Linked DNA regions of Caenorhabditis elegans. The protein of the gene in region 1 interacts with the protein of each later gene in a biochemical or structural test. Each region holds a gene or a part of one and is shown on either strand. Other genes may lie near its edges.

Region 1 (7,985 bases):
CGTGATCTCCGCGAATTTTGAGCAGACTTTGTTAAAAATGATGACTATGTGCACGGCAAGACCCTTCCGCATAAATGCGCCCCCCTTTAAAGTCGTAGAAGTGGAAAAAAAATGCACTGTAGCAAAAAATCGAACATTTCTGTTCGATTTTTGAATTTCTCGAAATTTTTTAAAATAATTTTTAAAATAACATTTTTATTTTATTTCGAAAACTACCGATTTTAGAAAAATTCTAAAATTTCGATTTTTTTTGTTGATTTTTCGATTTTTAAAATAAAATTTCATAATTTTTTAAACCGATCTTTCTTGCTTTTCCTGAAAAATCGATGATTTCTATACCTTTTTCTTCAGTCCTTCAATAAATCGTTTCGACGCCGATATGTCGGGCGCGTGAAGCGCTTCGAATCCGCCGAGCATTCCGTTGACGTCCTGGCTCGCGCGGCTCCAGTATTCCTCCGCCTGAAAGAGAATAGTTGAAAACATTGTTTTGAGACTTAAAAATTTTTTTTTTAGTTTTTTTCAAAAATTCTTACATGTTATAGAGTTTTTTTTTCAAATTTTCAGCTTTTTTCAGAAAAACTTAGTATTTTCGATAATTTTAAATAAAAAAGTTTTTTTTCAAAAAATGTTTCGGTTTTTTTTTTAATTTTTGGTCTAAAATTCTCCGCAAAAGATTTGCGTGCTGGCCGAACTTTTTGATTTTGTACCTTTTCATAAACATCTTCACCATTGTGAATTCTAGAAGATGATGAAGAGCTCATTTTTGATGTTGTGACAGCTGCTCCGAGCAATCTGGAGACTTTTGTGACGAAAAGACGAGAGGTCACGGATATGATGATGATACTGGAAATGAGATATTTATATTTACTAGTTCATCGGGAAAATTATTACGAGAAAGATAAACAGACATGTGCGTTTTTTTAATGGAAGAGAAACACAAGAAAAATCTGGAAAACTAGGCCACGGCTATCAGTGTCGATTTACGGCATACGGTCTCGACACGACTATTTTTGTTAAATGTGAAGGTATGCACCTTTAAAGAGTACTGTAGTTTGTAACTCTCATTGCTGCAACATATTTGACGCTCAGCGAAAACTACAGCAATTCTTCAAAAGACTACTGTAGCCTTTGTGTTGACTTACGGGCTCGATTCTCGAAACGAATTTCTGCTCGAATTGTGACAGCCATATTCAATTTGGTATAGTCTTTTCGTATTTTTTGCCATTTTTCTGTTTTCTTCTAATATTTAATCTATTATTAAATTATGTCCGTAACTCCCTCCAAAATTAGAACTGCGACCGAACAGAGATTCGTTCCGCCCCATATTCCGGCCAATCAGATCGAGTAGGCGGAGTTCGAAGTCGCTGATTGGTTTGAAAAGTCGCGGAAATTTGCAAGTTTTAAGGTAGCGAAAACTGATGACTATTGTAGCGCGCTTGTGTCGATTTACGGAATCTCGATTTTCAGGAATGAATTTTTAATTACATTTTTTCGCTCAATTAATATTCTAAATAAATAAATAAATGATTTGAATTAATTTAATTTCATTCGAGCCCGTAGATCGACACATGTGCTACAGTAATCATTAGTTTTCGCTACGAGATATTTTGCGCGTAAAATATTTTCCCGTAATAACTCTACTCCGACAAACATTACGACCTCCATGGAGGCCTCCAGGTATAGGTGAGACTCTTGTATTTCCAATTCAGAGACAATGCGTCACTGGAAGAGAAAACGAAGCGGAAAAAAAAACACGGAAACCCAAAAATAGTGTTTGCCCCGCTCTATTCTTCTCCAATAATTTCTGTGTCTAATTTTGAAAGACTCCACCTGTGTATGCCTTCTCGACATAAACCCCCCCCCCCCCCCCTATCTTACATGGTACTGATAACACTTTCAGTCTTTCACACTTTTGGCGCGCAACGCCGCTCTTTTTTCGCGGCGAGCTGATGACGTCATCAATTTTTCATCGCTTTTGATTATCTTCAATGTTCTAGAAGGGCACATAGGTCATCCTTATTTTTTCCTTCTCTTTCTCGTGACGGCCCTTGTTGCGCATGCCCGCCCCCTAGAGCAGGGCGTGGCCTGAACGGCGGCTCCGAGAGCTACTCATTCTTGCCGCGTCACCCTCCAGCGCCACCCAAACTTCTTCGGTTCTAGAGATCGAGAAGAACGTATGATTTTTTAAAATTATAATTGTTTCTTTCGAAAAAAAAAATTTCATTTACAGTAAGCCAAACATACACAATCAACATGAAACTCGTAATTCTGCTATCTTTTGTTGCGACAGTTGCGGTTTTTGGTGAGTTTATGCTTTAGATAATACTTTTCCGCCAAAAATACAGTTGCCGGTCTCGGTATGGCAATATTTTTGTTAAATTCGAAAAGCAGTGAGTAATGTAGTTTCGAATTTTCGTTTCTGCTTAATTTTCATCAATTCATCGTTTTTCTCACGACTTCTTCTTTATGAAAAATCAATGAAAATTCTGACTAGGTCAGCTTAGGGGTGAGGTACCTAGAGACGCCACATATGCCAAACGGAAGCTGAGATCATTGGCTACAAGAATATGCTTTCAAATTCTGCAACGGACCTCTGGGAGTCTGGAAATTCTTGTCTGAAATTATGCTTTTGAATGCTCGAAAGTGGTAAGAATTTAGAATTTATTACAGAAAAACGTTTAATTAATAAAATTAGTTTTATACTTGAAACAAGTACTGTATGCACTGTATCAAAACACATTTTCATCTTTTCTAGGTATTCAACTTCACGTTTTTCTGTAATAAATTCTAAATTCTTACCACTTTCGAGCATTCAAAAGCATAATTTCAGACAAGAATTTCCAGACTCCCAGAGGTCCGTTGCAGAATTTGAAAGCATATTCTTGTAGCCAATGATCTCAGCTTCCGTTTGGCATATGTGGCGTCTCTAGGTACCTCACCCCTAAGCTGACCATTCCCTAGTGAGCAAACAAAATTTTGAAATTACAGTACTATTTAAAGGCACATTGATTTTTTGGGTCAAGCAAAAATTTGTCGTGTCGAGACCGGCTACGGTATTTTCGCGAAAAATCGCAAAATCTTGCGGCTGGGATATACTTGTGCGAAATACTTTTTGCATTAATTTTGAGCAAAATTATTTTTTTTAGACTTTTTGAAATCCAAATTTTTTGGATTGCGAAAAAAACCTGTGTCCGGTTGTTTCATTAGGCCAACAAAGTTCCTGGAACACTGATGAAAACCATGATAGAGGCGGAGCATAATATCGATTTTTCGTACTTTCCTGTATTTCTTCTTCTATATGGCCGAGTAGAACAGGATTAGGGGTAAAGTCAAAATTTTTCTCATATGGATATCATATGGATATCAAAATTTTTCTCATATGGATATGGAGAAAATTTTTCTCATATGGACTTTGAAAGTTGAATCACTTGACATCTGGGAAATTAGTATTCCAGGCGTAAGTCGGATCTGTTAGAAACGGAATACTTATAGGCTTCGTGAATTAGGTAGACTTTCAATTAATCTGATCCATGGGAGTCAGACGCGGTTTCCAGGCCTGACGCCTGCCTCCAACTTGCCCGCCTCACGCCGGTCTCTCGCCTCATTTCTGCACTGTGACGAGACAGACGAAGGTCGCCTTCTGGCGCCCGCATGGAAATCCTACGAATATGTCAGCTTCTGATGGGACTCCGTAAATCGACACACAGGGGTACCTCAGACATTTCCCTCCCCCTTACAAATTGTTAGGACAAGGAGGGGGAATTCATCTCCACTCGAGACACACATATGTTGTCGTCAGTGAAGTGTAAAGATCTAAACGATTGCGTGTATGAAAAAGCACTCTATGATCACCTTTTTCATCTTCCTACACCCTTTTTAGGTGTGGTGCCCATCGAGCACTCACGCCAGGCAGGGAGAGCACCGGTCCCTGACTAATGGGATTCGAATGTTTTAGACCGGAAATAGGAGCGATGAAAGAGCATAGAAATGATCATTTGGAAATCACGTTTAATTAGGTTACGGCGAAAATTTGCAAAAAAGAGCAGGAAACTTGGCTCAAATCCTTCGAAATATAACAACTAGGACTTCCATGTAGGCGTTAAAGCGCCCTGTCTCTCACCCCAATCCGTACCTTAAGCTGAAACAAACGTGAACTTTTTTCATTTCTTAAAGGAGTATCGTCAATGGGAAAATTGTTTTAAAATGTAGTATTTGTACTTCAACTTCCAATTATTGCAAAAGAAAAACGGAAAAAATCCGTTAACATTCAGCATTTTAAGTCGAAGAAATCTTTAAAATTTAACTAGAGAAATCCTAGGCCACGACGCTCATTCGAATTTTAATTTGTTTTGATATTGTATTTTGAAAAAAAAACTTAATACAATTCCTTCTTCCCAGTTTTCTATAACTTTTTGAGAAAAAAACGAATTAAATTCCGAAAAAACTACATTTAAATCAATATTTTGTTTACGAATATGGCCTAGAAATCGCGTGGTGGCCTAGGATTCATTTGCGCGCGAAATTCAAATTCCGTCACTTTCGTCGATTTCAACGGCTAAATGCTGAATGTCAACGGATTTTTCCCGTTTTTCTTTTGCAATAATTAGAAGTTTGAGTACAAATACTACATTTTAAAACAATTTTATTTTTGGTATTTTGACGAAAAATTGATTTATTGGTTTTTTTGGTTGTTTGGGACCAAAAAATCCAAAAAAAATGTTTGGCGTGTCTAGTTTCGACTCGAGACTATTCTGTATTAAAAATACATTAAAACATGTATTTTAACACAGTTGTGACGTCATAAATGTATTTTGATACATTTTGCAACATTACTTAAATAACCCCATTAAAAATTAACCTAAGCATCAAAAATTTTTTGGTTTTTTTGGTTTTTCGAAAATTTCAATTTTTTTTGTTTTTTGGTTTTTTTTGGTTTTTCAAAAACTTCAATTTTTTGTTTTTTGGTCCAACATTTTTTTTTGGTCTCAGCTCTGCTGCCTACCCTAGAAGAACTAATAGCGCTTCAAAAACTGATGAAAACGTTCAAATTTGTCGAAATATTACGAAAATTTGAAAAGTTGGCTCAAATCTAGATTGAATCGGCCGATTTTCCACAAGTTTCCAAGTTTCCACAAGTCGCCACATATCCCGAGAAAAATCGATTCAAATTGTTTGAAAATTGGAATACTGCGAATTTTGAACCAAATTTCCCTGGCTTCTCTGTTGAAATACTTGAAAATACCGCGAAGCAAACAAAAAATCTAATTATTACGTGAACACAAAATTCTGAAAATGCGTATATATTGCGCAACATATTTGACGCGCAAAATATCTCGTAGCGAAAACTACATTAATTCTTTAAATGACACGCTGTATGTGGTGATTTACGGGCTCAAAAAATTATTTTCGAAAATCAAGCCCGTAAATCCACACGTAGTAATTATATAAAGAATTACTGTAGTTTTCGCTACGAGATATTTTGCGCGCCAAGTATGTTGCGCAATACGCAACCCCATATGTTGATATATACTGATGTGAGGATAAAAAACAACACAACTTTCAGCGGCTCCATCGGCTCCGGCAGGTCTCGAGGAGAAGCTGCGTGCTCTTCAGGAGCAACTGTACAGTCTGGAGAAAGAGAACGGAGTTGATGTGAAGCAAAAGGAGCAACCAGCAGCAGCCGACACATTCCTTGGATTTGTTCCACAGAAGAGAATGGTCGCGTGGCAGCCGATGAAGCGGTCGATGATCAATGAGGATTCTAGAGCTCCATGTAAGTTAGTGGTGGTGGCCGGAAAAGAGAAAACTCGGCCAAGCTGCTCGGAGTTTTTGAATTTTTGATAATCCGAAATAAAAATTGATTGCTCGAAAAGGAACAATCTTTTGGAAAAAAACGAATTTTGTCATTTTTTTCAGCAAAAATTGATTTTCGAATTTTTCCAATAAAAAATCGATAATTTCTCCCCGTGCAGTGGAAAACAAACAATATTTTTTTGTTGATCGTTCTCTTCCAAACCCGGAATAGGTACACACATTCCTGCGTCATCCCATTCTCTTATCACACTTTTTTTTCGAAAATAAAAGTGTAGAGACGGAAAAGTGAGAAAGGAGTCAATTTTATGCGAAATTTTGCATGATAATACACTCAAATTAAAAAAACTGCGTGGCGTGCACTGCAGAAAACCTCATATTTAGGCCCCGCCTTTTTCTCGTCCACTCACGGAGAAAAGGCAAAAATTTGGGGACCAACCAATATCAGGCCGCCGACATCCTACGGGTTCCGCGCGCCGCTATGTTTAACTCGCTGTGGGTGTGGCGAGCTGTCTCCGCCCGCTGCGAGTTAAACATAGCGGCGCGCGGAACCCGTAGGAAGTCGGCGGCCTGATATTGTTGGTCCCCAAATTTTTTCCTTTTCTCCGTGAGTGGACGAGAAAAAGGCGGGGCCTAATTATGAGGTTTTCTGCAGTACACGCCACGCAGTTTTTTTATTTTGAGTGTATAGGTCTCGATTCTCGAAAGTATGACAGTTATTTAAATGATGAACTCGTGATGACTGTTAAATTTTTGGAAATTTCGGGGGAATTATATCGATTTTTCGATAAATTTACAGGAAAAAAGTCCAAAATCTAGGTATTCCATGGTAGGCAGGCGCGATTTCTTGACGCCTGCCTGGAATCTGTCCGCCTCACACCAAAAAATGTCAATCATTTTGCTGAAAACCAAATTAAGAAATGAAAAAGTGCACTTAGAGATGATGACGGAGGTCGCCTTAAGGTCAGACAGGTTAAAAAACCGATTTTAGTTGAGTTTTCCCGAAATTTTCTGAACAACCGAATTAGAAATATGCTGCTTGTCATTTTTGAGTAAAAATTAACGAAAACTTCGACCAAAACCACGAAAAAAATGAAGAAAATAAAGATTTTTCGAGAAAATAACAACAAAATCCAGCAAATAGTGAAAAATAGTTTTATCCGAGAAAAAGTAGTTTAGACGCTATGAACTCTCGAAAATCAGATTTTTTCAATCTAAAAGCCATAAAATTATCGATTTTTTAAAAATTCTCACTGAAAACCGGCGAATTTCAGTGCTCCACGCAATCGAAGCCCGCTTGGCCGAAGTGTTGAGAGCCGGAGAACGCCTCGGAGTCAACCCGGAGGAAGTTTTGGCGGATCTTCGTGCTCGTAATCAATTCCAATAAATATTCTTTGCCCTAAATACTTTAAATTATCCATCTGACAACTAAAATTTCGGTTCTTCTTGGCTTCTTCTATTTGTGAAATGGTTTATTTTCCCCCGAACTCTCAAAAGGTTTAAATATTGTTCGATTACCCCTTTTTATCAATTATTTTCTTCAATTTCTTATTTATCATTATTTTTCTAAACGAAGACGGATGTGATTTTAAATTATGTTAATGGACTATTTTACAAACTGAATAAATTCAGCATGTTGGCAGGTTTTTTCAGTAGTTTTTGAGTGAAAATAGAGGTAAAAAGACAGAAAATCAATAAAAAATGAAAACAAAACTATGAAAAATGGTTGAAAATCGAGCAAAAATCGTTCAAAAAAAAATAAATTCAAAAAATAATTGCGTCGAGAAACGCGTCAGTAGCCGCTCTCTGCGTCTCTCACCCTTCAGCACGCGGAGAGAGCCACGAGAAATGCGCAAAGGCTAAATTCGGCGCGGAAAATCATTTTTCAAAATAAATTCGACGAGAAAATCAATACTTAAGTAATTATCGATTTTCAGCTCGTTCAAAAAATTTTCAGAAACGTTTTAGTCGTTTAAAGGTTTTTTTAAAATTAAAATCGTCGGAAGTAAAAAAATAGCGCGGATGGAAATCTACGGAGTGCGGAGCGAACAAACGCGCGGTAATTCAAATGGGTAGAATAGTCAAAATTGAAAATTAGCCAGCATCGACCGATTTTTTTAAAACTTAATGGATTTTTTCGTTTTTCTTTTGTGGTATTTCGGCATTTAGGATTA
Region 2 (4,874 bases), on another chromosome or scaffold:
TCTTTCACTTTATTATTCATTTTTCCACACATTCATTTTCTCGAGAATTCAACTGCGTACTCATTCTTGTGAAATGTTTACCCGCTAGAACACTTTGGGTAACGTGGTACCCAGCAACAGTGCGTCTCGACATCTCGAGGTTATTCCCAACCCAAATCCAGCAAATCCAGCCGCCAACGCAGATTTTTATATACTCGTTTGCATTTCTAATAAGAATCGTGGGCACTTGCATACGTTGTGATTCGAGATATGTCCTCGTTAATAGAAACAAGAAAAGAGGAGAAAATGCTAAAGTAAATATGAATGTTTAAAAAAGAGGGACAAGAAAAAGCCTCACCTTGCTGCAAGTTCTTTGTTCTTCTAAATATGAAAAGGTTATTTTTTTGTTCTTCATTAACATCGCCAAGCGCTCATTAATGCTCTCAAATGGCACTAGGTCACGTAAGTTTCAAAGTTTACAATACAAAACAAAGAGGCTAAAAGTCAATTTTAAAATTAAACACACTATAGTATGTTTCTCCACCCACTTTTCAAAACCTTATAACTTCGTATATAAATCTGTTAAAACTCCGAAAGCGACTTGATAGATCTTGAAAGATTTATGAAACCGTCGAAAAGTGTTTCCGTCAAACCAACTGCAGCATTGCACTCAAAAAGTGGAGACCATTTGCTCCCTTTCCAGAGAAACAAATAAAATGTGCTCAGGGCCAAGGCCACCGGCTCAAAGCCACATGTCCTGAACGATTTCTAGTGCTCACTTCCCAATTCCTCAATCCAGACGATTCTAATTAGACATTTCGCTCACTCATTTCCCTTCATCACCACCCATATTCCTTGGTCCGTTTTAACATTTCAATTGATGACACTTACGTATTCTTAGAAACACGATGAATTCCTGAAATTTAAAAAAAATCTTGTGAGCCCTTGATTCGGGAAAATTTGATGATAGTACGATAGATTGACACTTTTCTTATTACTTCCAATGTGTTTGAGTATGTGTGCATGATAATTTTTTAAACTTTTAAAGATGATTGCTTTAAAAAAAATTGCTTTCACCTTCCTGAAATCTAGCGGAATATTATTCTTGAACCAAATCATAAATATTGTTTTTTATAAATTTTTCTAAATATGGATAATGACACTGTGCTGGATTTTGACCCTTTATAGTTAGTCTTACCATTTACACTTTTCCATGGATATAAGTACCTTCTTTTTAGGTATCAATGTTTGAGAAACTATCACGTTACATTCTGCCGAAAAAAAAGTCTGAATATGAAAATAGAAGTGTTGTCATGTATAAATAACCTTTCCTTTTTTTATTTTTTTCTGTTACCCGAATATTGAACCAAGTCCTTAATACATCCTGCCACCCACGTTGGTGAACACTTAAAAAGCGGCATACCAATTATACCCATTGCTCATCGAAAACCATTTAGGTGCAATAAAGACGGAAAATGTTCTATAAAAGAAAAGAAGGGCCTCACGAGTCATTCACAAATTAGTCAAATAATCCTCATTTTTCAGTAAACTTTGAAGCGTTGGCCATCACTAGAGCAAAACGTTTTTGTAGTGTTGGTGTCACGTGCGACCAAATGCTCTGCAGATACAATTATGCAACATGCAAAAAAGCATTCATAGATTTTTGCTCCCCATGCTCTATATATCTCTCCAGTTATTTTCATTTTATCTGGACAGAAGACGAAGGTTGACCATACCCGTTTTCTCCTACTTTCCTTGCGCCTCACAATCAGCTCATGTTTCAAGACACATTTTCTCACTTTTTTTTTCCAAAAAGACATAATAGTTACGTGAGAGCATACACATATGTATATTTTTCAATTGACATAATGATGTCACGTTCACATTTTATCATTGAATGGAAAAGTGCTTTGAAGGATCTGGTTTAAAATTCAACAAGCCTATCAGAGTAATCTAATTCTTCCACCTCATCGTTCTCTGTCCTGTTTCTGACACTCTTTGTGTTTTCTTCTCCTTTTTCGTGAGTTTTTATGCGGACCCTTTTTGTTTCTTTTTTCCTGCCGTGAACTTATCTCGACCTTTTTTCTAACAAAACAAATTTCAGAATGAACTCAACGGACATTATTGCAAATGTCACAAAACCATTTGTAGAAAACTTAACATTAGGAGAAACGGCGTTTTATATCAGTTGTGGCATTGTTGGTACAGTTTTCAACGCATTAGTACTATGGATTGCACTCACATATATCAATACGGAAGATAAGCCTAGACAGGTAGGAAATCTCTTTTAAAAAAGAAATAGATCGAAATTCATACATCTTGAGCTAAGAACGATCTTTACAAAAGCAGTTTTCAGATAATTGTTATCAACATGACAGTGGCGGATCTTTTGATGTGTATTGTGTACATGAAAACTCGCCCATGGCTCTCACATTTTAATCTTTGGCTTTGCCATCCCTACTATGTTATCATTTGGACGTGTCAAATGTGCAGTTGCTTGAATCTCGTTTGGTACGATTTTTGGAAAATGGTGTCATGAAAAAGTAGTTTCTATTTTAGGTTGAATGTTGACAAGCTGATCTACATTCAATTTCCGTTGCATTACTATCAAATTGTGAATCGGAAACGGCTTTTATGGATTACTGCAGCGACATGGGGAGGACTTTATGCAATGAACATCGCACTTGTCACCTTTTTGAAAATAACTCGAGTAAGTTATTTTTATTGCAAAACAAAACATTTGATCACGACGAATGGAGTTTTGAAAAGAAAAAAAATTAGATATTGAAACAAAATACAGCAATGTCATAAATTTGAACGATAAAAAACCAAAACATTAACGTAAACTGAAAGTTTCAAAAAGGAAGATGGTACCTGTATATTATACACCATATTAAAAAACATCATATTAAAAGTTAACAATACATTTTTAAACAAAACATTCTAAGTTATATAGCGTATTGTGTTTTTCCTCTACAAGTTTAAAGGGAGGCACATTTTTTGCAAAGAGATCCTGCCGCGCTTTCACCTTTCATACCAAAACATTTTATTTAAAAAAATGCTGAACGCGCGGTGAGATGATTTTTTATAAATGTCTATTGAAGTCGGGAAAAAAGAAAATGAAATACGCTGTATTACACAAGTATCAAAACCTCTAATAAAAGTTTTGCAAATCGAAATACTGATCAAATCTGAATTGGAGTTTTTTTAAGACCCACGGAAATAATATTGAAATCAATATTTACATGTAGGTATCTTAGGTATGAAGAGCTGACTAGTTAGTTCTGAAATACAACTTAGAAAATGTTCCATGTAGATGACATTTTGAAAAAAAAAACGGAAAAATTTCAAATTTCGCCTTTTCAAATTAAAATAAAATTTCAGGGAAGCTGTCTTGGAGTATCACTTAATCCTTATGTATATCTTTTGAGCCCCATATTCTATGTCGTAATGATTCTTACGTCATTTTCCTTATCAGCTTTGATCTACTGCATTGCTCACAATTTGACCCATATGGAGGAGCGGCAACGATCGGTATTCAAAATTTAGTCAAAGTCTCTTAACGATAGTTTTTTTTTCAGAAACTGTTTCGTCGGCTGTTCTTCTTGTTTTCCAGCACATTATGGACTTTCTTCACGTGTCTTCCGTATCGGCTCTTGTACCTATTCAGTATTTTTTGTGGAGAAACATGTCAAATTAACAATTATTACAAAACTGCAACCAACCTTTTTTTCCGTCTTTTAATCGTTGGTATCATGATTAATCCAGTGATCACTATTTGGACTCAGAGAGTGAGTTATATTCCCACTGTGCCACATTATATTCAATACTTTGAAGATTTATCGCCTACGCCTTATGCGTATGTTTGGGCGACTGCGTGAGAATTCATCAACTGAAGTATTGATGGTTAGCAATCGACGAGCATCTGAAAGGCCGCCGGAGCACACCCCCTTACGGTGTGATATGTAGATCGTAGTAATTCGCAATGTATGTAAGTAAAACTTGTGGAAAAAATGTTCACCATGGTACCCGGTGACATTTTCATTTTCTGATATTTCTTGAGCAACGGTTTCCCTCTTCTGAGTTTTCCCCAATGCCATACTGTCCAGCCCAGCATAATTTATTATTACTGCTCTCGGTAAACTTTCAAAAATATTCTGTGTTCTGATGATGCATTCAATGTTTACCAGTTACAATGTACTATAATAAAGTTGATGTTTTGATTTCTGTTTAGTTTTAGTGTTGCAGGAATACTGAACTATTTTTGCACAAGTGTCTTTTGTTCCGACGGTTTGTTTGGATGCGTAATTTATTGAAAGAGAGCAACAAAACACATAAGATTTAATATATTTGAAAGAAAATGGATGGGTAAAACTTCAGAAGTCATATAAATTGGTAAGAATACAACTACATGGTTTTGAGCCTGGCGGGCAGAATTAACGGGGAACATTAAACAGAGTTGTGGAAGAGCCGATAAGATGGTTTTCAAAGAATATGAATAAACTTTAAGAAAAAAAACAGAAGAACATAATTGAATTGAATTGGAAACAGAAAAGATATTATAAAAAACAATCGGTGTTACATATTGAAAGTTTAAGGAACTTAGGATCATCAAAATATAATGCTGAAACTTTTAAAAATCATCGATTTTTAATACAATAGTGTTCTGAAAATCTGAATTGATGATTGAAGCAATGATTACAGCGTGAAGTTGGAAACTAATAAAAAAGTAAACAATTAAAATCATCATGTTTGAAGAGAAAATGGGAAAAATAATAGGAACCACCAAAAGATAAGAAAAAAGAAGAAAAAATTTAAATGATAACTGCTCAATCAGGAATCCGATTTAGATATACTTCTTCAAAGCCGATCTCACTTTAGATACAAGATATTGG

The links.
Region 2: the proteins of nlp-40 (region 1) and aex-2 form a complex in vitro, tested with the Caenorhabditis elegans proteins (2 studies listed by BioGRID, with this or other methods).

What each region holds. Positions count from the first base shown.
Region 1 is NC_003279.8:9,388-17,372, forward strand, and holds nlp-40 (Peptide P4), read left to right. Parts: upstream 1-2,107; 5' UTR 2,108-2,174; intron 2,175-2,230; 5' UTR 2,231-2,253; coding exon 2,254-2,302; intron 2,303-5,563; coding exon 5,564-5,773; intron 5,774-7,085; coding exon 7,086-7,198; 3' UTR 7,199-7,450; downstream 7,451-7,985. Other genes in the region: homt-1 (Alpha N-terminal protein methyltransferase 1), read right to left, coding at 340-459, 708-761.
Region 2 is NC_003284.9:9,650,326-9,655,199, reverse strand, and holds aex-2 (G-protein coupled receptor aex-2), read left to right. Parts: upstream 1-2,083; 5' UTR 2,084-2,084; coding exon 2,085-2,252; intron 2,253-2,335; coding exon 2,336-2,490; intron 2,491-2,538; coding exon 2,539-2,689; intron 2,690-3,363; coding exon 3,364-3,513; intron 3,514-3,560; coding exon 3,561-3,770; intron 3,771-3,816; coding exon 3,817-3,948; 3' UTR 3,949-4,201; downstream 4,202-4,874. Other genes in the region: F34H10.4 (uncharacterized protein), read right to left, coding at 4,826-4,874. UniProt on the Caenorhabditis elegans protein: G-protein coupled receptor for the nlp-40 neuropeptide. The activity of this receptor is mediated by G proteins which activate adenylyl cyclase.